Linked DNA regions of Arabidopsis thaliana. The main gene of each other region encodes a partner of the protein of the gene in region 3 in a complex. Each region holds a gene or a part of one and is shown on either strand. Other genes may lie near its edges. The genes, in order: MED8, AT5G20170 and AT3G01435.

What was found.
Region 1: AT3G01435 (region 3) and MED8 share a complex: the UniProt entries of both Arabidopsis thaliana proteins name them as parts of the mediator complex.
Region 2: AT3G01435 (region 3) and AT5G20170 share a complex: the UniProt entries of both Arabidopsis thaliana proteins name them as parts of the mediator complex.

The regions. Positions count from the first base shown.
Region 1 is NC_003071.7:900,185-911,687, forward strand, and holds MED8 (mediator subunit 8), read left to right. Parts: upstream 1-5,328; 5' UTR 5,329-5,640; intron 5,641-5,766; 5' UTR 5,767-5,793; coding exon 5,794-5,972; intron 5,973-6,062; coding exon 6,063-6,187; intron 6,188-6,281; coding exon 6,282-6,406; intron 6,407-6,474; coding exon 6,475-6,658; intron 6,659-6,763; coding exon 6,764-6,847; intron 6,848-6,968; coding exon 6,969-7,024; intron 7,025-7,114; coding exon 7,115-7,384; intron 7,385-7,472; coding exon 7,473-7,529; intron 7,530-7,846; coding exon 7,847-8,053; intron 8,054-8,140; coding exon 8,141-8,191; intron 8,192-8,288; coding exon 8,289-8,352; intron 8,353-8,435; coding exon 8,436-8,608; 3' UTR 8,609-9,088; downstream 9,089-11,503. Other genes in the region: EMB93 (Mitochondrial transcription termination factor family protein), read right to left, coding at 1-764; AGL30 (AGAMOUS-like 30), read left to right, coding at 1,430-1,614, 1,715-1,774, 1,867-1,885, 1,979-2,043, 2,148-2,163, 2,249-2,310, 2,395-2,491, 2,565-2,639 and 2 more. UniProt on the Arabidopsis thaliana protein: Component of the Mediator complex, a coactivator involved in the regulated transcription of nearly all RNA polymerase II-dependent genes.
Region 2 is NC_003076.8:6,809,174-6,812,773, reverse strand, and holds the start of AT5G20170 (RNA polymerase II transcription mediator), read left to right. Parts: upstream 1-1,854; 5' UTR 1,855-2,044; coding exon 2,045-2,133; intron 2,134-2,221; coding exon 2,222-2,426; intron 2,427-2,586; coding exon 2,587-2,700; intron 2,701-2,904; coding exon 2,905-2,990; intron 2,991-3,481; coding exon 3,482-3,600. Other genes in the region: AT5G20180 (Ribosomal protein L36), read right to left, coding at 864-1,020, 1,308-1,462. UniProt on the Arabidopsis thaliana protein: Component of the Mediator complex, a coactivator involved in the regulated transcription of nearly all RNA polymerase II-dependent genes.
Region 3 is NC_003074.8:163,211-174,713, reverse strand, and holds AT3G01435 (uncharacterized protein), read left to right. Parts: upstream 1-6,425; 5' UTR 6,426-6,608; intron 6,609-6,660; exon of another isoform or gene 6,661-6,683; 5' UTR 6,684-6,729; coding exon 6,730-6,996; intron 6,997-7,684; coding exon 7,685-7,861; 3' UTR 7,862-8,200; downstream 8,201-11,503. Other genes in the region: MBD9 (methyl-CPG-binding domain 9), read right to left, coding at 1-460, 884-1,398; AT3G01450 (ARM repeat superfamily protein), read left to right, coding at 3,335-3,592, 3,757-3,863, 3,962-4,094, 4,189-4,383, 4,524-4,811; PnsL3 (PsbQ-like 1), read right to left, coding at 5,307-5,405, 5,529-5,815, 5,960-6,236; AT3G01430 (NHL domain protein), read left to right, coding at 8,577-9,119. UniProt on the Arabidopsis thaliana protein: Component of the Mediator complex, a coactivator involved in the regulated transcription of nearly all RNA polymerase II-dependent genes.

The DNA.
Region 1 (11,503 bases), on a different chromosome or scaffold from region 3:
AAAATCCCATGTTCCTTAAGCAATCTATGCCTTGGCTTTATCTTCCTCTCCAAGCTAAACGAAAAATACTGAGGGAAACGTTTCAGCTCCTTAACATCTCCACGCATCTCCTCAATAAAAAACTCAACTTTAGGAACTAAATTGTTATCAACACTATAAGTCAACAACGCCGGAGATCTCACAACCATCTTCGCTACTTCTTCTCTTGTAAACCCTAACCCTTCTTCAAGATACTCAATTTTGGGGATTAGGGTTCGTTCCACATTCGATACAAGCAACACCGTGTTCCGTGACGTAATCGTGTCGCGACCCACGAATCCTAGGGTTTTGAGGAACGTTAATGCAGGACGAAGCTGATAATCTACAGATGAAATTAGCAATCGAGGACAACGAGAGATCGATTTAGGTATGTCTTGCTCTGAAATTGAAATCTCATTGGATAAGAAGCGAAGAACTGGTAAGATTTCAGATTCAGGATCAGAAGTTAACAAATCTGGAAACATGTCGAGGATACGACCAACGGCGGGTCTTGAGAGTCCGGTGGAAGAGAGTAGAGTCTCGACGGAGACGACGGAGGAGATTGGAGCAGAACGGAGAGATGGGTTTACTCGGAGAGCTTTGTGAGGATCTACGTTAAGGTCTTGAAGGTAAATAAGCTTCTCCCGGAATAGAATCCCAGTATCTGAAGTTTCTCCGGCGAAACATCTAATCCTCACGGCGGAGAAACACGGCGGCGGAAAAAGAGAACACCTTGCTATCATCATCGTCGGTGAGGTAGAAAAAAAAAGTTTCAATCTTTAAAGTGTGGATAAAACAATGGAAGAAGGGTAAAATGGTAATTCTGGTGTAACGGTCAGATAAAGATTAAACGACGTAGTTTTTTGGTTGAGAGTTGTTTCTGCTTGTTCTTCTTCTTCCAATGAGGATCCCTATTCTCAAGCGGCTTAATCATAAGACCGGTTTTTGCGCAGAGTCTGTTAACCGCAATCATCTTCTCTGTCTCTATCTCTACCTCTGGTTTTCGATTCTTCGTTTCGAAGTTTTTTTTTTTTTTCCCTTTCTTCTTCAAGAGGTCCTTTTTAAGATCTCGCTCATGGTTAGTATCAGCTTGGCGTTTGAATTTGCCTCTTTAGGTAAGTTTCCTTTTCTTCTTCTCTTTCCTTATCTCTTCTTAATAAGGGTTTTCACAATCTCTCTGTTTTCTTCAGAAAAAGATTGAATCTTTATTGAAAACCCAAAGTGATGAAATTGAAATTCATGATCTGGGTATTATAGATTGCAGATTCTGGAAACGTATTATGTTAATGATTCATTTCAAGTTTTGATTTTTTGTGTTGGATTGAAGAGAAGAATAGTTTATTGATGTTTTGTGAAGAAGAAGAAGAAGAGATTTTGATTTTGGTTTAATATATAGTTGGGGATTAACAGGATGGGAAGGGTAAAATTGAAGATAAAGAAGTTAGAGAACACAAATGGACGCCAATCTACATTTGCTAAAAGGAAAAATGGGATCTTGAAAAAGGCTAATGAGCTATCTATTCTTTGTGACATTGATATTGTTCTTCTTATGTTCTCTCCTACTGGCAAGGCTGCAATATGTTGCGGTACACGAAGGTAATCTATCTAATGTGTCTTCCTTTGTTTTGTTTGTTGTCAACATAATCATTGTCTCTCTTGGATTGTGTTATCTGAATGTATTATGATTGTTCTTCAGTAGCATGGAAGAGGTGATTGCTAAGTTTTCTCAAGTAACACCGCAGGAAAGAACGAAAAGGTTTGGTGTTTTCTTATCGATATGTTTTTGTTTGTTTCTCCGGCAATGGTTGGTCTTGTTTTACTCATTGGTTTCATCTTTTTTGAATACAGGAAGTTCGAGAGTCTTGAAGTAAGTTTATTTTCACATAATCAAATGAAGTTTTTGGTTAATTTTGATCCTTGAGAATCTCTGATTTTAGATGTTTCTCTTTCGAAAGCTCAGAACTTGAAGAAAACTTTCCAAAAGTTGGATCACGATGTAAATATACGCGAATTTATAGCCTCAAGGTATGTCCGGAAACAGTTTTATATCAAAATCTCTTGCAAGAAACTCTATATGAATATTAACTTCTTTTCTTCTCTCTTGTTTGCTTTTGGTTCTTTGGTTTCAGTAATTCAACAGTAGAGGTATTGGTTTTAAGACTCTCTTTCCATTTCTAACGTCTATGACATTTGCCAAAGCCTAAATTTATACAAAACAACCTTTTTTCAGGACTTGAGTACTCAAGCAAGGATTCTGCAGGCTCGGATTTCTGAGATACATGGAAGATTAAGGTAAAGATCTTGCTGAGGATGATAGTTCTTTGTTCTCTTGATGTCTGTGCTCTTTTTTATACTTGTTAGTGTCATGTTCTGCAGTTATTGGACGGAACCAGATAAGATTAACAATGTTGAACACTTGGGACAGCTCGAAATTTCGATTAGGCAATCCCTTGATCAATTGCGTGCACACAAGGTATCTTTTGTTTAAAACTTTTCCATTTCACTTCATCCGCGAAACAAAAAACTAAAAACTCTTCTGTTGATAGGAACATTTTGGGCAGCAGCAACAGGCAATGCAAATAGAAAACGCAAACTTTGTTAAGGATTGGTCAACATGCTCGGTAATTTACTCGAATGACTCTTCTTTAGTTCTCATTTGTAACAAAACAAATTGTAAACCCGGCTGTACAACTTTCAGATGCAAGATGGGATTCAGATTCCTTTAGAACAACAGCTTCAATCTATGTCATGGATTCTTAATAGCAACACCACCAACATTGTCACCGAGGAACACAATTCAATCCCGCAGAGGTTAGTGAAAACTCTCACCGAGAGAACTTTTCTTTCTTTTAATATTGAATCATATCTTAAAACCAAATCTTTGTCTATCCTCAAAAGGGAAGTCGAGTGCTCAGCGAGTTCTTCATTCGGGAGCTATCCAGGCTACTTTGGAACAGGGAAATCTCCTGAAATGACAATTCCGGGTCAAGAAACAAGCTTTCTTGATGAACTAAACACCGGACAGCTGAAACAGGACACAAGCTCGCAGCAGCAGTTCACTAATAATAATAATATCACAGCATACAATCCCAATCTTCACAATGATATGAATCATCACCAAACGTTGCCTCCTCCTCCTCTTCCTCTTACTCTTCCGCATGCTCAGGTGTATATTCCAATGAATCAGAGAGAGTATCATATGAATGGATTCTTTGAAGCACCACCACCTGATTCTTCTGCTTACAACGACAACACCAACCAAACCAGGTTTGGTTCTAGCAGCAGCTCCTTGCCTTGCTCAATCTCAATGTTCGACGAATACTTGTTTTCCCAGGTAACCAAAACAAAACTTTCTCAGAGATTCTAAATGGGTTTTTGTTTTGTAGACTGATTTGACAATTTGTTCTTCTTTCTTATAGATGCAGCAGCCGAACTGAGAGAGATTTGATGAATGATGATAAAACATCTCACTGAAGAAACTCAAACCAATATTTTTTTTCAGAAACAGCAAGAAAGCTAAAACTCTGCCGATTTCTGAATTGGTTCCAAGAAGAAAAAAACCAGTGGTAATCCCTGGTAGATTGTGCAACCAAACCACACACAATACGTGTTCATTTATTTTTTCTATATCTTCAATAGATGTCACTTAATTCTTTTCTATACATAATTTCTCAGTCAGATGAGATTTTTTGAGGTTTTCCATATTTCTCCGGCGATAAAAGTTAGTAGTGTCTTTGGAGGGCTGTCAAAGTAACGCCATGACAGCCAAAAGATGAGAAACTCTCTCTTCCTTCCCTTCCCACAAACTCTAGCCTCTGTATCTATTCTTTTTCATTCTTTCAATGTAAAACAAACAAACAAAACAATGTTTACTACATTTTTGTTTTTGTTTTTGTCTTCAAAGTACTCTTGTTTATTAAGTGATTTATACAAAAGTTTACAAGTTATGTAGGATGAACTAAGGAAGCTTATGTTTATGGGTTAGAGAGACTACATTGGATGATTCTTCTAGGATTTTGAATCACCAAGAACCATCAACAAAGCCAACAGTATCTTTCACACAAGTTACTAATATCTTCTTAAATAGTTTTACTTTGTAAGAACCATTTCCTTGAGTGGGTTTACAATGGGACGGACTAACTTGCGTACAAAGACCGTTTTTTATTCACTATTCATAATTTTGGTCCGCAGTTTAGTAAATAGGAAAAAATATAAAAACTCTAGGGGAATTGGAAAACTAACCAAAAAAAAATATAATTAAGAAACTAGCATAAAAAAAAAAGCAATGATATCCTCTATATTTTATATATTAATTCCAAGTTTACCCCCTCTATCTCTTTCCGTCTACCTCTCTCTTCCCTTCTCTCTCCCCTCTATCTTTTTCTCTCTCTCTCTTTCTCTCTCTTTCTTTTTTTCTCCCCCTCTCTCTTTCTCCTCCCAATAAAGTTCCTACACCTACCTCGTTACTTGTTTTTTATTTCAAATTAGAGTCTCTTAATTACTTTAGGGTGATATTTGATTTGGGGGTTTCGAATTACAGAGCGAGGAACACAAGTTAGGTTCAGGGAATTGACTTTCGTTGTTGCACTTGATGATGAAATAGGGTTCCGTTGTTGCGCTTGGTGTATTGGTGATGAAATTGAGTTCCGTTGTTGCATTTTGAGAGATACTATTCTATTTTGTAAATAGTATACTATTTACGTATACCTTGTTCTATATACGTTTTAAAATGAATTGTTTGTTTTGATTAAAGATGTTAAGTGATTTCATTAATGTTTTAGATTTAAACCCTTGGGTTCCCTATATATTATCCCTTTAGGGTTTAGTATACTTCCATCAAAAAATATTGTCAATTTATATAGAACGTTATGTTATTCATTGACAACACTATTCACATCTAAATTATTTTGTGTCTATTTTCAAAAATTTAAGTCATGATATTTGTAGAAAACTATACAACTTTTTAATAGATATATCATGAACTTGAATTAAATTTTTTAAGATCAGATAATATGAGTTACAATTGAAAAGGAGTAAAGAAAAAAGAAAGAGAAAAGAGAATTTCTCTCCTACCACCTATTTCTCTTCTCACCTCAACACCAATAATAAAGTCACGTCAGCTCACACTAATCATTCTCCTTCTTCGCTGACGAAGCGTAACACCAGGACAGTGATGTCTTTTTACTCTCCTTGAAGGTTATTTACTACATTTACAAATTTATGGTGTTAGTTGGTTAATTATTTAGTAAAAAAGTGTTATATCTACAAATCACGCAAAACTCTATTACGGACCAACAAATAGTTTATTTGAAAGCAAAAAAACAAAACTTGGTCCGTAACGGATTATTGTCCGTCTTAGAAATATAATGGTCTACTCCGCAAACAGATTTGTCCGTCTTAGCGACATATTGGTCTAGTCTGCAAACGGATTTATCCGCTCTGTCTATTTGTTGCAACCTTGTAAGTTTTCAAAGAGGAAACACATATATATGTTATGGATTCGGTATGTTATTATATTTCCCGGTTCTATTTCTCAAACACACTCTCTCGTCTTCTCCAATAACTAACTTCTCCAAATCAAAGCCTTCTTCGAGATTTTGCGCATTCCTCGTTTTCTAATTCGTAAGTTTCTCTTTTGTGTGTGTTTCTAATCGAAACTTTTGTGTCAATTTCAAATCGGAAACCTAATTAATTTGTTCAATTCGCTGTGATGTTAAAAACCCCTAATTACGTTAAATTTGGAATTAGGGTTTGTGTATTAGCTCTGTGTTATCAATGGAGACACAGCCGCAGCAACCACCTCCTCCTCCGGTAGCTGAGAAGCTGAATCCAAAACTGGAGAAGGAACTGAATCTGGAGTCGTTGAAGACACGAGCCGTTAGCTTGGCCAAAGCCATTGCTCGAATCCTTGAAGATTTCGACGCTTATGGTCGAACCAACACTACTCCTAAATGGTTCATCATCATCGAATCCAGAATTTGATAATATTTTGATGTTTATGAATTTTTTGTAACAAGGATTGATTTTCTTTTTGTTTTGAACAGGCAGGATATTCTAGGGCAGTATTCGATGGTAAATCTCGAGCTTTTTAACATTGTGGAAGAAGTAAAGAGAGTTTCAAATGCGTTTGTTGTGCTTCCTAAGAACGTCAATGCTATGAACGCTGCAAGTATGGTCTTTTTTTAGTTGTTTTAGTTGATGAGTTAAATGAATTGTGAATGTGATGAACTGGTTTAGCTTAGCATTTATCAGTGAATCTGCAGTTTTACCGGTTATGTTGTCTTCGAAATTACTACCGGAGATGGAAACTGATGACAATGCCAAGAGAGAGCAGTTGCTTCAAGGTGTTCAGAGTTTGCCTATACCAATGCAAATCGAAAGGCTTAAGGTTAGTTTTGTAATGTATTTTTGTTGTGATTTGTTTGCTGGTTTTTGAAATGGTATCTGTTATTACAGGCGAGGATGGATATGATTGCAGCAGCTTGTGAAAATGCAGAAAGAGTATTAGCTGATACTCGTAAAGCTTACGGATTTGGCACTCGTCAAGGCCCGTCTATGCTTCCTACTATGGATAAAGGTCAAGCTGCAAAGATTCAGGAGCAGGAGAAAATGCTACGAGATGCTGTAAATGACGGTAAAGGTAAGAGGGTTTTAGAATTTATTGAGTCATTTGATAGTGTACGAAACTGCAGTTTTCTGTTTTGCTGAATTCCTTCTCATGTTCTTTTACAATGGTTGTTTCTAGGAACACAACTGCCTCCAGACCAGAGACAGATAACCACTGCACTTCCACCACATCTGGCAGATGTGCTAATTATCAATGATGCAGGTAACGATTTCATTGATCTGTCTGGTAGAAGTAAACCCAATGCTTGAATCTTCTTTATTTTGTTACTACTACCAATGGTATTCTCACGTTGTTAATGGCTCCAAAAATTCTCTTTCATTAGGTAAGATTGCATTACCTGGGCAATCAAACAACATTAACAATCAAGGAATGATGCAGGTTAAACTAGTTTATTCTCTCTAGTTGTGATGATTATTACTTTTGTTAGTATCATTGTCTTTCGAGGTTCATGTCTTTGTGTGTTTTTAGGTTTCCGGGACTCAATTTGTGGGAAGATCAGCTGCATCTCCATCTGGTCCTAATTTTGATAACACAACATCTCCCTTACCATATTCCAATTCTCCTCGCGCTACGGGTATGGTTAATGTGCCTTCGCCTCAGCATCAAATCCAGCAACAACAGTTTCAACAGCAGCAGCAAAGGTCAAAATTAATGCAGTTGCCTCAACATCAGCAGCAGCAACTACTTGCACAACAACAACAACAGCTCAGGCAATCTTCTATGCAGGGATTGGGTCAAGTAGGCTTTGACATTTTGCAGACGTAGCAATTGACTGTTTTTTCCTACCATACTGCTTTATTGAGCAACATGCTAATTCTTTGTGTAGAGTCAGATACCAGCACTTCATGATATGCATGGGCAAGCTCAGCAAAAGTTTCAGACGGTAAGATAAATAGAACTACAACATAGTTAGGGGATAGATGTGTGAAGTGAAAAGGATCAGACACTACCTTGGTCAATTATTTGTATCATTATGCAGTAGTTATGGCCATAAATGAAGATGACTAGACGTATTTATACAAGTTTACATATACCAAGTGAATGATTCATACTCTTGAAAAGTTATCCTAGATCTTGGGACTTGGCAGAAGCTTTTATATAAAAGTAACTGTGACAGTTCGTAGTTTCAAACAGTAGAATCAAATGAAATTATGAAACAAGCTTTTGTCTTTTAAGTGTGAGTTTTATCTTATTTTTCAGTCACATGGGCAACATCAAATGCCATATTCCCAGCCAATGGGCGCGCACCAACAATTCCAAGCTAGACAGCTCTCAGGTGGACATATTCAGCATAGCATGTCTCAAGGACAGCTCAATCCAGCGATGAACCGTCACTTAAACCAGTTTTCAGGTGGAGCCAATAGTGCATTGTTTACTTCTGCACAAGGCTCCCCAAGTAGCCAAATGGTCAGTCACCTCTCTTTAACCTCTTGAATTGATGATTCGAAACAATTACTAATCATATTTTCTACGTACTTTTTCTTTTAATTCTAGATACCAAACATGTCATCTATGCAATCTCAGACACTTGTTCCTAGGATGCAGGTTAGCTCAAAAACTCCTCTACTCATTATGTTTCCCAAATCTGAACGATGAACATTGTCTTAATCTGATGATCTCTTTGGATTTTTATGGTTGTCAGCAATTTGGAGTTTCGGGTACCAATCCCCAAAGAAGCCATTCGTCTCAAATGTTGGGTGACCAGAGTAAGTAAACAAATCTCTTCTAAAACATGTTTTCTTACATCAAAATCGATTCCCTGACTATTTCATTTGTCCTATCTTTACAGTGTTTAACACCAGCGGAATGATGCAAACACAGCAAACACAAATTCAGCAATCGCAACAGCAGCAGCAGCAGCAACAACAAGGAGGCTATGGAAATATGCAGACGAATCAGCAGAGTCTACAGCCTAATAACATGATGCAGAATGCTCAACAAAGGCACCAAAATCCTCAATAACCCCTTTTAAATAATTTGGGCTTGTAATGGGCCGATGCCTGTATTTTGTAGTACCAAAGGCCTGGCCCATTCTTTAACATTAATACACTCACCAGATTTCTCTAGTTGTATGGTACTTTCACACTACACTAGTACACTTTGTTTACTTGTATCATTGTATGAGGTTAAAAACGTGAAGCAGAGATTGGACGGTGGAGGATTGTTTTCGTTCTGACATGTTTATTGAGAATTCGACACGTGGCATCGACGTGAACATCTCGACGCCGTTGATGGGGTTATAGAGACAAAACGAAGACGCGTTTCTGTTGTACACGGGACTCGAGAGAGCGACGTGTCTATGAAGTTTACCTGTTTTCTGAACTTTAAACAGAGAGCTTTAAAACTGCGACTCGAAAGCTATTAAATTTTCTGACAATTTGTTTTGTTTCTTGTCAACTTAATTTTATATACTCATTTTTTATGTACTTATTTAGCTCAACGACTCGTTTAGTTACCTCAATCAAATTTTGAAATTTAGTTACCATTTCTTTTAAATTTTTTGTTTGCTTTTGTTACAAATATGAAAAACTAGTTTACTTTGGTTTTTAGGAATTTGCGAAAAAATCACTCAAAATCGCTTATTTTTACAATTTATTGTGCACATTCAAAAAATGCAAAATAAATTTATAAAATTTAAAATAATACACAATATAATTTATTTGTGCGATTTTGCATATGTTATAAACGTTTTCACTATAACATATATTTGTATTCAAAAGTTTTAAAGATATAATTGAACTCATCATCTCAAAGGCTTTGATTTGATATATTATTTTCTTTAATATAAATATTCAATGCATAATTTTCTTTAAATTAATTTTATATAAAATAAATATTTTACTATATATTATATGAAATAAATGCTTTATTATAGGGAAAAAACCCAAAACAAACCTCAACTTGTTATGAATAAAGATGGATGCTCATTATAACGCCCATCATCTAAACTCATCATCTAGATGTTTCTAAGGTTTTACCCTTTCCTTGTAATCCTATATAAAGAACCCTTTACCTCAATGGAATAACACACTCATTTTCTTCTATCTCTTTCTCTGTTTATAACACGTTATCAGGACGCTCTAAAAGGTAGATATAGAGATTCTTACATTTTTTTAAGAACCATGTTTACTTATCGACTCATGGTTCATAGTATTTATTTTCTATTATTGAAACAAAACAATATGAGCCGATCGATGATTATAGTATAGATCGGTAAAAGCATGTTTTCAATGATTCAATAAAGAAGAGAATCATGCTTATCATTTGTTTCTATAATTACTATCGCATGATTCAATGATTCTACAAAGAAAATCGTTAAAGAAGATAATCATGCTTATTAATTGTTAATTTTTGTGATTTATTATTACAATAATGAATATATAAATTACCAATTTTATAATTATATAACTAATTTTGTAACTATTCATAACCCGGTGGTAGGTGATGCAAACATGTATTAATGTTTTAGCATTCCAGTTTTGAATAGTTGCATCTATATTCAATATCATTTTATAAATATTATATTGTCTAAAATCCATTTATGATTGATATGATATCCCTTATTTAACTCCTTTGATTAAAACGTTATACATATCTTATCACTTTTAGATATTGACTTTTCCATATTAAATATTTGATTTCCATATATTTGATTGTGTTATTATTATTTTTACTAAAAATGTTGCAAGATAATTTTTCTTTTTATAAGATTCCATATATCTAAATCTTTGTGTTATTATTATCTAAAAATTTTTATAAGATTTCCATATATTTGATTGTGTTATTATTATTTTTACTAAAAACGTTGCAAGATAATTTTTTTTTTTATAAGATTCTTTTCTCTAAATCTTTGTGGTATCTAAAAAAAAAAAAAAAAAAAAAACAAAAAAAATTGTTCATGGTTTTGCCCTAATTTTGCACGAAATCATTTTACCCAAATCTTGCACGAATTCATATTAGCCTAAATAAAAGTTTTGTCAAGATATATGTAAAATCCAGATTTTGCACAAAATAGTTTTATTCTGATTGGTTTTACAATATTGCATTAAAATTGTATTAGTATATCATACTTGATTATTTTATGAAATAAATTGATTGATAAATAACTTAATTTAAAGGTATAATCACTTATAGAAATTTTCATGAATGACTAGTTTAATGTATCTTAAGAAGATATCATATTTTTGATGGTCAAAATTTTTTCAAGAACTTAAATTATCACCAAAAGTTGAGAAAATAAATATGGTAAAAAAAAATAAGAAATTTTGAAAGAACTATTATAAACTTAAATCGAGTGTTTTTCAAAGGCTAAGAAAACAGATGAGTTATCGATGATAAGTAGTACTCATATTCTGAAGTGAATATAAGATCTTACATAGTTAGTCAAATTTAATATCGTTTATACTAGAATATAAAAATTTAATTATTATCTCGTTATTGTTTTATTAGCATATGATTGATTATTAAAATACATGGAAGTAATTTTGATTATAAGATCTTATTAAGGGAGTAACTGATAAGCAATGAAAAGTAAATTAAAAGTTTTGAAAGAACTAGAAGTTTCAAAAGAATTAAAAGTTTCAAGAGTATATTTGGCTTAACCGGATTGGTCATCCTGGTTTAATGATGATGTGAAAGTATTGAGAATTATGTGGACATTAGGTGAAAAACTAGAAGATTCTCCCTAATGATTTATCAAATGTTACTTGCTCAGAAAGCAATATGATAATGTGATTTTTACCAGTGTAAGTAATTTGGACTTTATCTATTCGTAAGTATATATACAAGGAGATGATTATGGGTTGATCACCCACTATATGACATTTAGATACCTAATGGTTATAAAAGATGCATCGA
Region 2 (3,600 bases), on a different chromosome or scaffold from region 3:
GGCAAGGAATCCTGAACCTTTGAGAAATTATCCTTTCTGAATTTTATATATTGAGTAGATTAATTATCCCTTTCGTATTTTTTGTTTCCTGTGAAAGAAACACAATTATGATGGTTATCTCTCGAGATCAATTGGTTAAAATTGCAGCTCAAAAATGGAAATTACGAAAGAGTATGACAATTATTGGTGAGGTGATTTTTTTGGAATGAAGCTGTTAACGATTTGACTGAGGGAAAACTACAACAAAAAGTAATAAAGAAGGCTTGTTATGTCCAAAAGTAGTACTGTCCAGAAGCGGGGCCCATGGGATATGCCTATCAGAGTGGGCTTCCTGTGACCTCTCACACCACCACGTAGGACCTACGAGCCGAGTGCTCAACGGTGGAGAAAGAGAAGGGTCGTTGTCGTTGAGAAGTCTCCGTCTCTCCAGTTTCATTGTATTTGATTCGCATTTAGTGGGTGTGCTTTGTGCAGCCTCATTTTGGAATAGTGAAATTTGACTATAAACATGCGCAAATGAGCCACAACATATTTCAAACTACTTGGTACGCGGTCAATACAAATTCAACCACAATTTGCTCATTTCCTTGGCATGTAATCGATGTGGATATCACTAACCAGAGTTTTCTAAAAGAAAAACATATTGATCCCTAACATATGCTCCAGTGGAAAATGTAAAAACAAATACTCGAGTGTCATAATATATCTCTTTGTTCAGGTCATGCGAGGCACAATCAAACAGGTCTCGAAGGAGCATACGACTGACCAAAGTAAAAGTGGAGAGATATACAATAATGTTTCATAGGAATTGGAAGAAAACTGCGATTACAAATCTGAAGAATAAAAAGGGAAATGCTGACATCCTAATTTCCTTGTTTGAAGAGAATGGATGCAAGACCAGACCTCCATCCGAAATACGCTGTTGGCATAGGCCTTTTGTGTAAAAGTGATGCCAGTCCGGCTGATACCCCCTGACCAGGCAGCCTCACCAACTCCTGACTAGCAATCGGCTCAGCAAACCTGTTTTACAATCCCAAATAACTTTTTAAGTAAGTTACTCTCAACTCTGCGAAGGAAAACAAGTGCACATGCTTCATGCTTCTGTGTGATGTTCCACTATAATGTATTTTAGTAACTGTTCAACAGACTCTAAATAGATCCTCACTTTTCATTCAATGATTCTATAGGACAAAATTTGGGTAGTAAGTGATTCACAGTAGTCAATATACACTGTATTTAACCCGTCCAAAATCCGAATGAGACACCTAATTACTCAAAAGCGAAAACCAGATACAAGATTCACTTACAAAGGGGAAGGTGTAATTCCTTCATAAGCAAAGGAACTGAACCCTTGTCTTTGCTTGTGCTTAGGATTGGAAGAGCATATAACATACACACGTCCACGACGTTTCACTGTTTTACAAAACTCACACATCTTCTTCACAGATGATCTCACCTTCATTGCTTCTCACTCTGCAATTCACAACCGATCATTAACACAAAACTCATTAGATGAAAATGAAAGAGAACTCTTCAAAGTATTCAACTTTAAGATTCAAAACTAAGGATTGTATCCTCTAAACATATCATTTCTACTTAATCTACCAGAAAAACTGCAATCCTTAGTTGATCCGATGATGGAAGCAAAAGTAAAACGAATCTGAAGCATCCATCTCTAACTACACGGAATCACACAAGAGAAAACCCTATAATAGATCCAGATACGAAATCGAGTGATAATCAACGAGAACCCATCAAGCGAAGAACAAAAAAATACCTGCGAATTCAAAGGCGACTACGAAGAAGAGCAATCGATTCCCAAATGCAAATGAAAGGGTTTTACGGAGGAGTTTTGCACAGTCAGAGTACAACATATTTTGGGCTTTTAATGGGCTTTACCCGTAAAAATGATCCGGAATTTTTTTGACCCGGATTATTAGATCTAAATATCCGATTTGGAGCGTTGAAGCGATTTGGCCGGACTGTGTTACCGTCGACCTAGAAAATCTGAATTTTTGACCGGGAAGATTTTTTTCTGTACGATATGGATAGCGACATGGAAATCTCTCTCGACAGGCTTCCCATTAAACGATTGGAATCTATCGAAGAAAATGGCGCCGAGCGTTTTCCTTCGTAAGTGTTGTCTGGTGTTTGAGAAACGAGACAAAATCTTCCCAGATTGTTTTGCTTCTAAATTATTCCTTTTGTTTTTGACGTGTAGTGATGTTGATTACGATGATAAGAGAGTATCGCTGATTCGGAGAATAGACTTCGCGTGGGCGTTGGAAGAGGAAGATGAGCTGAAGAAGAAGAAGCAGAAGAAAAGCTCCAAGGATAGCGTGGAGCAATGGAAATGGAAGGGAATGGTTGAGAATTTGCAATTGGCTCATCAGGAGCTCACTGTCATCATTGACCTTATCGACACAGTGAGTGACTCTTGTTGATAATAGATAAGAATTTTGGGATATTCATAGCTCTTACAGTGTCTGTTTTATTGGTTTGAATGGAAGGAGCTGAAGTTTGGTTTCTGATATTTGAATAGAGAGTAAAACTTAAACAATTTATCTTCTGATTTTATCTTTGAAGGTCCAAGCAAATGATGCAGTAACAGTTGCTGGGATGACCAGACCTAAGCCGATGCCGAATGAGATTCTCTCGGATCTTGCTGTGTCTACTGCTACCAAGCTGCAGGGCTACCGGGTAATCAGTAGCTTACTTTCTTATGTGCAATTTAACTTTGCTTAAAGATGGAAGGATTCTTGTAATTGTTATTAGTTAGGCACTTTTTAGTATCCTGAGAAACTGTTGGAAACATTAACTTGGTTTCGTAAAGAGCTTTTTAACTATATAATTGTCTTTGGATGGTATGCTTATCTCACTTCTGAATATCTGTTTCCTCTGCAGAATTTAGGAAACTACTTTAAACAATCAGCAAAAGCTTTAGAGCAGAAAATCAATCGTGAAGCAAGGTTTTATGGTGCTCTTATCAGGTTCGAGTACTTGCTTTTCATTTAATGTCAGTGGCTATTTTCCTTAGTACTATTTTGCAACTTTTAAGAATTTGTTGTTTGCATTCTTGATACTAGTTTTAGGTAGCTTACAATGTCATAGCTATTTGTGTTGTGCACAGATAATTAGCGTCCGAATTTTGGATGTAGAGTTATTACGCACGTAGGTTTTGTAATATGTTATGACTTATGACTGATAAACGTGAAAGCATTTTATTATTCTTGTCTAATGTGAAAAAGTTCTAAATTTTGACTTCTACACCGTCTCTGTTACTGAACCTGCATAGTACAGTACTTCAGGAACATCCATTTTGTTGTGTAGTGACTGCTTAAGATTATGCCAACACAAATTAGAGAATTTCCGTTGAAATTGCTCATAATTTGTATAAAATGATAAGCTGACTTCAGCTTCCAAAATAGAGATTGATTTATACGTGCAAATGGTTATTTTTGCTATACTAACAAGCTTATAGGTTGCAGCGGAACTGGAAAGTCAAGCGACAACGCATGCTTGCTTCAAATGCCAGCAATGAGGGCTTCACCATTGATCTTTCTGACAGTTCATTATATGATCCGACTTCTGGTTTTCGCC
Region 3 (11,503 bases):
CTCATTCCTGATTTCAGCATCCATACAGCTGTAGTTACCATTAATTGCCAAGCCCAGATAACAAGCAACTTCTTGTATTGAACTAAATGTTTTTCCATTCGGAGCACAATACACTGCACATAACTGATAACCATTTAAAGGTTGTCTGAATTCGACACGCCAGCCATCTTCCAATACTCCATGCCTTTCAGATATGAAATGCCTGAGATTTTGCAGAAACAACTCACTTGGATCCAAGGATGGAAATCTCATGGGCAAACTACTATTGTTCAAGTTTAATGGGAATCCAAAACCTAGATTATGTGAACCCAATGCATCCATACTCATTTTAGTATTACGAGACATTAACCCTGAAGCTTCGAGACTAGCATGTCCTCTACCGAGACTTGAGAAGCTTGAATGCATCATTGCATAATCAAAAGAGTTTCCAATGCAAGAGCTGCTGGCGAGCATATGCTTTCTGGAGAAGAAGAAACAAGCAACCACATGATCCATCAGTGCTTTACAATTTCGGCTATGTGTTTTCTCAGACATACTCATGTTATATAAGGCCAGACAAGTCCAATCAAATAAAGTCTAAACAACTGATTGAAAATATATCGTATGTATAAGTAATTCATAAGAGAAGATCAAAGGCCCCTTAAAAACTCCAACGAACGGTAGCACAGAACGCTCAACTTATACTGAAACTTAAATTCAACAACACCAAATCCTAGTCCAGCTTAATCTTCAATAGTTTATCGCTTTAAAATCGAACACATTACTCGCAATACATGTAAAGACAGCTTAACCAAGTCTTGCAACTATGTTCTCGATCTCAACCCAAATTCAATTCTTATAAAACCCTAACGCATCGTCGAATACCAGAAGCAGGGGAACGTACCTCGAATCAGACGTCTCCTCAGCTCCGTATCCCTCAGCATCACTGGGCGGCGAGGCGTTCATGTCCAGAATGAGCTTGGACTTAACCCCCAACGGCCACAGTTTGCTCCTCTCGCCGCCAGTACGACAGTCGCTGCACATCCAATCGGCGGAAGGAGCCGCCTCAACTCCATCGTTGACACAAGACATATGAAAGCCTCGCTCACAGGCATCGCAGACTACAACGAGCTCTATAGACTCAGGTCTTCCACACGCGCCGCACGAAGCATCCCGATCCGGTTCAGGAACCTCGGCAGGGGCTCCAGGGGCTGGGTCCGGGTTATCGTGAATTGACCTAACAACTTCAACAGGTTCATATTCGCCGTCGTCATCCTGACCAGCGGTGCAACCACCGCCGAGAGTAGCGCCGGTAGGGATTTCGTTGAGATCGATGCCGAGAAAGGAGCGACTCTCTTCCTTGACAGCGGCGGTCTTAGTGTCTCCGAGTTGCTCGTTAGTAGAATCAGTGGGTTCCATTATTCGATTAGGTTAATGGAATCGAGCATTGTTTGCATTGAAGACGAAGAAGAAGAAGAAGAAGATTGAAAACAAAACCAAATTGCGAGAAAAAGAGGTTTTCTTATTAAATTTTTTTCTTTTTTTTTGTCCACTTTTCCCGAAGTTCTGTTTGGAGAGAGAAAACAAAAAAACGTGAATGAATCCTTTTACCCTTTTTTTTTCTTTTTTGTGTGTGCCTTTTCCTAATTCCTATCACTACTACTACTAAACATATTTTCGAAGATGCTGCTACTCACGTAACGCACCAAAAGTTTAACCTAAAAAAAATGTTAATTATTGTATGATGCTAAATTTATGTTAACTTTAGAAAAATTTAAACTTGATTGTACTTGTTATCAAATTTACGGAAGTTTATAAAGTAAGATGTTGCTTTTATATTGATGTTGGTACAACGCGATAAAGATAAGTAGGAACTAGGAAGCAATAGATCTCCTCCGTAGTCAAATATGTGACTCTGTGTCAGAAGAAAAGGTAAAGAATTAAAAAAACCATTGGCATCACGAGGAAAGTAACTCGAGGAAGGTGTAATAAACACGTTAATGATACTACTAATTTTAAAAAAAAATTAATTAAGAATTAAAGCAGTATTCTTCTTCTTCTTCTCCCTTTTAAGTTTTAACAACAAATTTTACTAAGTACTAGTCTAATCAACCGATTAAAAGAGTCGACCAACTTTTGAATAGTGTAACACAAAATCAAAAGTAGGAGGAACACAGCGACAGTTAACAGATTTGTAAACACTTGTCACCTACATCTACCGGCCCAACTTAGCTACAAGTCTGCAACATCTGCGACAAAATATTTTGGAACGTGGTGGATTCGTTTTATCGATCAATGTATGCTTTCCTTGTTAACTATTTCAATGTGCATTTTAACATTATTTGTTCTAGTCATTTCATTTTTGGTTTTCAGTTTGTAACTGATTGATACAAATAGTAGCAATTGGATACGGTGGGTGGCAGCTTTGCAACATGTTTCTTATCTTATATTTTCAAATTTGCACTCCTCATGTGCATCAGTGCATGTAACATGTGATGTACTTTATACGTTCAATTTATTTCGTTTAGTAGAAAATAAAATATTTCCACACCAATCCAAGTTTTTACGTATTAAAAAATATGTATATACCAATTCCATATCTAAATAAAAATAAAAATGCATATCTAGTCCGAGGGTATTTGAGGAATTTACAATAACCAACCAAAGTGTATCAGAGAGAAGGAAAAGAAAAACATTAATTTCGCCCAAGATATGCCGTACAAATGGGTCCCCTCCGTTGGATCCATAAAACGACGTCGGTGTAAACGAGTATGACTACGACGACTCTACTACGAGTTGCGAACTGTTGGCCGGAAATCAATTTCGTCGTCTTCATCGACTCTTTCTCTCCCTGAATTTTCTCTGGCATTTCGAATTTATAGAGGTACGCGAGTCAAATAATCTTCACTATTTACTCTTCAAGTTAGTAGTCATCGATACCGCTTGACTCGCCGCTACTTTTTCTATTCTTCTGCGTTTTCGATCTTTCGCGGTTGCAGTAGTTTACGGCGCCGGAGTTAGATTTCGGACTGCGAGGATTTGTTTGAACTTTTTAGAGTCCTTGAGTGGGATCGAGGTTTTTTGCTTTTGTTTTGAGTAAATTTCGTAATTGTTTGAAATAAGATTTGGGAATGTAGATAGATCTCTGCTCTTTAATGTTATTGCTGTTGAACTCTCATAGTAATGTGTTTATCTTACCATTTCTACTTTGAAAGGGTTTCATTGGGAATACTTAATACTAAGCTAGAGGTCGAAAATTCATCTATAATCTTATCTTTGGTTTTGTAATCGCAGATGCTAAACTTATGTTGTTTGTACTTATAATGGCGTCTTCTTTGTTACTTTTCAGGTACGCATGGCTGCCAAGGCTTTAAAAGATTTGAAGAATCTTCCTGTCTCTGAGAGGAATATCGACTATAAAACAAAGCTTTTGGTTGGCAAAATGAATGGAACAGCTGAAGATAAACCACCACAAAACTCTGTCCCCTTTGATCACAATCATCCTAAAGGCGATGAGATTGAGAAACCTGAGGCAGAGAGAGTTATCGTAGAAATTGAGTATATAGAATCCAAAGACTTGAACAATGTAACCCAAGTTGATGCAGTTCTCAAGGTATCAATTGTTTTTTCCTGCTAGTATCCTATGCTTTACTGTGAATTCTCATTTGTAATGCTGCCTTGCAAATTTGCAATTATATTCATCTGTTTAGAATTTGGACATTGGAAGTAAGTTGTTTACCTAATACCATTCTGGAACTGCTTTCTTTATTATTCCAGTCACTTGTAACCGAGCTAGACTCCAAGGATTGGGTTTTGGTCTGTGATGCTCTTAATACCATTCGTCGTCTTTCCATATTCCACAAGGAAGAAATGCTGCATATGCTGTAAGTCATTTTCTTTCTACTCGTGATTATGATCAGTTTTAGTAGAGCGAGTTACACGTCGAGAGAATTTTCTAGTCTCACGCTGTCAGCTCTTACAGGGAGAAAGTGATCCTGTTTATCGTGAAATCACTGAAGAACCCAAGAAGTGCTGTAAGTAAAACCGCATGTATGACATCTGCTGACATCTTCAGCTCATATAATGACCATACAATCGATCAATTGGATCTCTTGGTAAATCATCTTTTGCAGATACTCTTGGAATTCTCCTCAAATAGCGGACATTTGTGTGTTCTTATAACAGTAACTCCGAATTCCCTTCTTACAGCTTACTCAACTCCTCCTTAAATCTTCCCAAGACAAGCGATTTGTTTGTGAAGCAGCAGAAAAAGCATTAGTAGCAATGACTGCACATGTTTCTCCTGCCTTGCTGTTGCCAAAGCTTCAACCTTTTCTCAAGAATAGGAATCCTCGGATCCGCGCAAAAGCATCCACGTGCTTCTCCCGATGTGTTCCCCGACTGGTAAATCAAACTGCACTCGATATCATAAAACCAGTCTTGTTCTTTTGTTTTGGATTTGTCATGTCATCACCATGACAACCAATTTGGATCCAGTCCATGTTCCCACCAACATCACCTTTCTTTGGCTGTGTAATCATTAGGGCATTGAAGGCATTAGAGAATATGGAATTGAGAAACTAGTCCAAGCAGCATCGTCTCAGCTCAGTGACCAACTCCCAGAATCTCGGGAGGCTGCACGGGCAGTCTTACTGGAACTTCAGACAGTGTACAAGAAAACTACTAATGTCGAACCGAAGGAGGAGCATCCAGAGCCAGTCACTTGGCAAATCTTCTGCCAATCAAACCTCTCACCTCTTAGTGCACAGGCTGTGATACGTGTCACCAATGTCGCAGGTGTGGCTCGAGAGGGTCTTGTTGCGGGTTCATGACAGTCACAAGCCCTCAGTTTGATATTGTAAGCCTCTGTGAGTAAACGTTGTACGACCACTGTTTCTCTATCTTTGGTTTATGGGTTTGTTTCTTTATTTTGTGTGTGAATATGTCGATGTGGTAAGATAAATCTCAACGACTCAACCGTTAGTTTTAGGCAAAAAGTTAGTCGGTTTATTTGATATATATCATGTTTTAGTCTATATTACATTGGTTTTCTTAAAACTTTTTTTTTTTTTGGCCAAATGTTTTCTTAAAACTAAGATTTCAATATTAAACATTTAGTGCATATACTCTTCTTTCTGTATCTTTGATTGAAAAATTAAAATCCAATTCGTTATAAATTTGATCATATTTTGGTCTATACATTACATTTTTTTTTTTTGATTACTAGATCTCAATATTTTTCCGCAAAGATTACAATTTATGACCACAGAGTTATCAACCATGTAGGATCATCAATAGCAAGTAAACCGGTATAAACCGAACCAGGATCATGCCATTCTGGTCATTACCTCTTGAAGAAGAAACTTTGTATCTTTATAACACGATTCCGTCTCTGCTAAGTTCTTCGTCTTAGCTGCATCTTCAAGCTGTGTCGAAACACCAAGAAAACAACAAATAAACATATAGGATATATCAGAAAAGAGAAGAAATTTTAAAAAAACAATAGTCTCTTCGGTTTGAACGAACCAGGACTTCATTAGTACACTTACCTTTTCGAAATTGTCGAACAATCTGTTGGCTAAATCAGTGAGAGGTTGCTTGTCTTCAGAGGCAGCAGCAGAGATGAGATTGTCGAAATCGTAAAACAAAAATGTGGATTTAAGCCTCAAGTACTTTTTCACATAGTTTAAAGTATCTGGTCCGATCAAATCCTCCATTGCCAAGAGATCAAAAGCATTCTTTTTAACTCTATACATTCTTCCTTTCGTCCCGATATCCGCTACATACACTCCTTTCTTTATGAATGTTCTCGTTCCCGTCTTCTCATTCACGATATCTGTATATTCAAATCGAGGACGAATTCAAAACCGGAAATCAAATGATTCTACCAAATCGAATTCTCATCTTGAATAGTTGTATGGCTCAAAATGTTCAAACATTTGAAGAAAGAAAACAATCAAGAATATAAAATGGCGCTTACTGTTGTAAATAGGAGGAATTGGAAGAGGACCATCAATCCAAAACCCATTGTCTTGTGCCAAGGAAACATTATTTTCGCCGAGAATTCCGGTAAGACCTATTGAGACAGCAAATCCTAATGTCATCCGTCTTGTGATCTGTACCGAATCCGGTTCTTGAAATTCTTCAGTTCTCCTGCAAGCAAACCCGCTGGATTTCCCGGTTTTACGACTCTCGGGTAGTTTCGGAAGAGACGGTAAAGTGTTGGTGAGACTGTTGAGGTCTATGAAGTGAGCCATTGCAGTTAGAGAGTAAGCTTTAGGTGTCAGCCTCTGTTCTTGTGTATTGTTTACGGTTTTTATCCGTTATAAATGAGAAAAGCGGCCATCACAAAGATTTTATCTGAACCAAGGGGTGTTTTCGTAATTCAATATTTTAACTACTCGCTGTTCCTGAATTGATAAAGTAGAGTTCGTGCCGTTTTACGTGACAAAAAAAACTTGTATCTTCTTTGCTTTTTCCTTCACCGATCTGTATTGCCGAGTGTCGCCGATTCCCCAAAATCTTCCCTCCGTTGCTGATCATAAGCACGCCGTTTCCAATCGAAATTCTCCGTGTTATTTCATCGTCTCTGCCATCTTCACTGTCTCGCGTCGCCGTGTTCGATTGAGGTACTCCCACTGCTCCGATTTGAGTATTTAGGGTATGTGTATGAGTGGATTTGACGGTATTGTGATATATCTCAGTTTGGAGTTCTCTCTCTCTGGTCTAAAAGAAATCGTGGAGAGTCCAATGGATCCGCAGACGCAGAACACTTCGTTGCAGCGACTCCAGAATGTTGAGAATGTGAAATTTTGGAAAACTCACTCTTTCCTTAGAGATTTTATTGGACGATTTGATGTGAATGTGTTTTTGTGTTTTTATTTTTGGTTTTCCGGGCAGAGAGTTGTTAAGGTTTTGGAACTAGCTGGTGGAGTGATGGAAGAACTCGCGAGCCCTTCTGGTCCCAAGAAAGAGTTCGTCAACAGCCATTGCCGAGAGTTTATGCAATCTATGAAGGTTTCTTACTCTATCTCTTCTTCAAATATTTTCTGATTTCTTTTGCATTAGTGTATTAATAAACTACCTGATCAAAGAACATTGGGGATCACTTGACACAAGTCTAGCTAGATTAGTGTTCTTGCTGACTCAATCTCTCTGGGGAATTGGTATCTTTTCTCGAGTGTTGATCGTTTGGGCTAATTTGACACAAGTCTATATTAGGGTTCATTACATTTCCTGATCAAAGTTAAGGGCTTTGTTTAGAATTTTGATTTTGGTTTTAGTCTTCAAGATGGCCGCTGCTTCTCGTTTTGTGATTCTTCTGTGACTAGTTAACATATGGGTTCATGTATCACAATCTCTAGGTTTGTATTCCTTTCCTGTTTCTTAGGATTTGACATTGATCCTTTATTCTTAGGCTTAAGGTTTATGAGTGATGGATGCTGATATTTTCATATTGGATGGAATCTCACTGTTTAAAGAACATTTGGGCTCTCATTTGACACATGTCTAGATTAGGGATCATTACATTCTGTGAACAAGTAAAAAGCTTTTGATTCTGCTTTTTTTCTAGAGATAATCATAAAGTTTGAAGATATCAGCTTCATTGTCTGGTTCATGAACTTGTTGATCTTTGACTGTACATAAATGTGCTATAATGTTATCGCCAATCCATAATAAGATGAAGTTCTTGTGAAACTTGCAGGATATACAAGTGACACTAAGGGAAGAGATCAAAAGCGCTTGCGAGTACCGTCCCTTTGAGAAATGCGATTACAACGCGAGAATAGCCAATGAGATCTGCTTCCAGAAGCTTGAATATGTTCTCACGCAGCTTGAAGATCTGAAACAAACTGCTGACCGGTATCCTTCTTCTGATTGATATTGGTATTCATAAAAAGGTTACTTGAAGAACTATACTAAACCATCGGTTGTGATATAGTTTCCAGATGAGTTGTAGACTTGTAGGTTATCCCATTAAAGTATGTCCGGTTTTTACGAATGAGTGGCTTGTTGCAAAAGTAAGATATTATCCTACTTACTATATTAGATTTTGCAAAAAGATTAGGTGATTTTGGTTAGAACATTCACTTGCAATGAATCTGTTCCAAGAATATTAGATACATTACATCCACTGGGAGTTATCAATTTCAGCTTATGGAGAAATCGAACCAATTTTGGGCCAGAGAGAAACGGACCAATTTTATTGCGGTTTAATGTATCGATCAATACTTGGAACCAAATGTGCTAACGTCAATTACGTATATGAACCCCTTCATTCATATGTGGTTTAATAAATTAATAGCATCAACAGCTGAAATTCCCGGTTAGATGTGATAAAACCAAAGCGGTTAAAAAGGGTTAATGAGAACCAATATTGCCGGGTTGGCGGTTACGCCGTTTTGTGCTCTTCTGTTTTAGTTACAGCTCAAGAGACGCGTTGATTGGAGAAGGTGATAGAAATCTCTTGGGTAGAGGGAGAAAATTAGGGTTTAGAGTTGGAGATGAGAAGAGGAACGACGATCTAAGGAGACAAAAGAGAGTAGCTAGATCAGGACGAAATTCCATATTTCCTTCGTTTCTGTTTCTCTCTGAGAATGAGTCATCAATCGCCGCCGATCGCTGAAGTTGATGCCACCGACGATATGCACGAGGCGTTGTTCGCGAAGCGAGGTTGTTGTTTCCTCATGCCCTGCCTTGCCTCATCTCAGCCATCAACTCGCGGCGGATCTGTGTGGTGGCAACGGATCACGACCGTCGACAAACTCGAACCCGACGAGCGATGGTGGATCCGAGGGTGGCGGAGGATGAGGGAGTGGTCGGAGCTCGTCGCTGGACCTAGATGGAAGACGTATATCCGCCGGTTCGGACGCAGCAACTGCTGTGGAGGAGGAGGAGGGAGAGTCGGAAACAGCAGCGGAGGATGCGGAGGTGGTGCAATGCCTAACCGGTCATCGGATCAGGGTAAATTCCGGTACGATCAGTTGAGCTACTCGTTAAATTTCGATGACGGAAATCAAACCGGACATTTTGACGACGAGTTCCCGTACCGAGATTACTCGATGAGATTCGCTGCGCCTTCCTTACCGGTTTCCACTAAATGCTCAATTGATTTCGATAGCGACATTGATAACAAGTGAAAGCCACGCGCTCGACTTTTTATGTTGTCGTGTGTGAGACCAAAATGAGATGGCATTTTGTTTCTTCTTCCAATATTTTTTTATAAATTAGTATTGACTATTGAGTATTATTCTGTCATTACCAATGTAATTACAAAGAAAAGCACCTTTCATCCAAGAAAAAATTTAAATATAGAAATAATTAAACAATTTTTTTTTCAAAACTCTAGAAAAAAATAAAAAATTAGGAACATAGGGAGTAAAAATTTTCAAACCATCAGGAATTAGGTTCATAGGATTTGGATTAGGGTAAAGCGTGTAAGAATTAGTGTAACACTAAGATTATCAGGATTTGGATTAGCGAAAATCGTGTAAGAATTAGTGTTCCACAACTACAAGGATCACTCGTTGATCTGTTTTTTTATAGGATCGCTTGTGTAGCCACCTCTTTCTCCTTTTATGGAATTCATGATGATATATGATCAATTTTTCTCTGATTTTTGTAGTTACCCGTAACCATCCATATTTGCGACTCTTTATTTCTTTGTCAAACAAACTACAATCTTATCTTTTCTTTTGAACTTTTTTTCTGCCACGTATGTTTCCTTGTAGTTGATTTGATCTTACCCTATCATGAATTTGGAAAAAGTTTACCTTTTCGAGGGACTCTATATATATTTGGAAATCACTGACATCATCAAGCACTTTCACCACTTTTGTAGATTCGGAGGAGTAGAATTGCTCGAATGTAATTTACCTGTTTCAAGTCTTTGAATTGGATTTTTAGTGGTGCGTTTGGTTGGATCGCGTTAGGCTTAAGGCAGTAGGCTATCATAATTTTTTGGTGGTTGAAAAGTAATGTTGATAGTTCTTGTGATAGATCTAGTGTGCGCGACCATATGGTGTTTACAATTTTTTCATATTAATTAGTCCATGGAAACATGCATGACATGACCGAAACGAACTTTTATATAAAATGACCAATTTATATAAAATGACCATGACAATTGAATCTTAAGTGAAAGAACGAAGCTATTTTAACCCAAACGATCACGTGAAAATTTTATTTAATCCAAGACTTATCTACATCTTAATAGTTGTCATTTGCTGATGTTTCACATTTAGTTATCAAATTGTTACTCTTTGATCTTTTATTTATTGGATCAAATCCAGTTACGTATAATTTGTAAACTCCGACATGATCTTCTTCGAATACAGTTCACATTCCACAGAGAAAAGATCAAACATGTTTGGTATCTACATTATAATAATACGTGACGTCTATTTATAATTTGGTTTTTATTATATAGACGTCATATATAGTTGTCAAGGATATATTAATTATGAACCTGGTTGAATAACCGAAAAGAACCCTAATCCCAAGAGTTTACTTGTATGACTTTTATTATGATGAAATTAAACAATAAATCATAAACCTATAAATTTAGAATTATCAACCAAAACTTAAGTCGTACGTTTGAGTATATAGACGTCATATTAATTATAAACCTGGTTGAATAAACAAAAAGAACCCTAATCTTGAATTACTTGCATATATGACTTTTATTATGATGAAAATCATAAACTTAAGTTTAGAATTCTCAACCAGTTAAGTCGTGTTCGAATATATAGACGCCATAGTTGTCAAGAAAAATATTAATTATAATTTATAAACCTGGTGGAATAAACAAAAAGAATCCTAATTATCGAAGAGTTTACTTTTATTATTTATGATAAAAACAATAAATCATAAACTTCGAGACGATTTAGAATTATCAACCAGTAAAGTCGTGCAAATTAAGCAACCAAACAGTGGTAAAAAAACCTATTGAATATTGTCTGGTCAACCAAACTTCAGGTGTCGAAATTTTTATATATACTATAATTTATTGGTATTAATTAATTTTGAGTAACACGCACGAAAACTAACAGAAATGGTATTATTTTAACATTTCATCCAAGACATTTTGAGATTTGGTCTGTCTAATATAGATATATATTATAAAGACAAATTACTAGTACATACATAGATATCTTTAAGAGCCAAAGATTCGGACGTTTTCTGATATACGTGCAGAGAGAGACTGATTCAATATAAAATGTTCAAATAGTATAAATCAAAGGAGTAGCCGAGTAGGACTAAACTAACTAATCTAACTTGTCTACGGAAACATAAAAAATATTAGATTCTAACACGTACCTGATGATGGCTCTATATATCAAACTTATTTTATTGGATCATTCTTTTTCCTTATTTTGAAGCAAAATGGCAATCTTTTAATCTTTGATTGTGTTCAAGAGCGGACCTTGGGTAAGGGAGGAATGGGTTGGTTAACCAACCCCCATTAAATATATACATATATGCTTTAATGCATGTAGAAACTTAATTTTTCTTAGGTGATGAC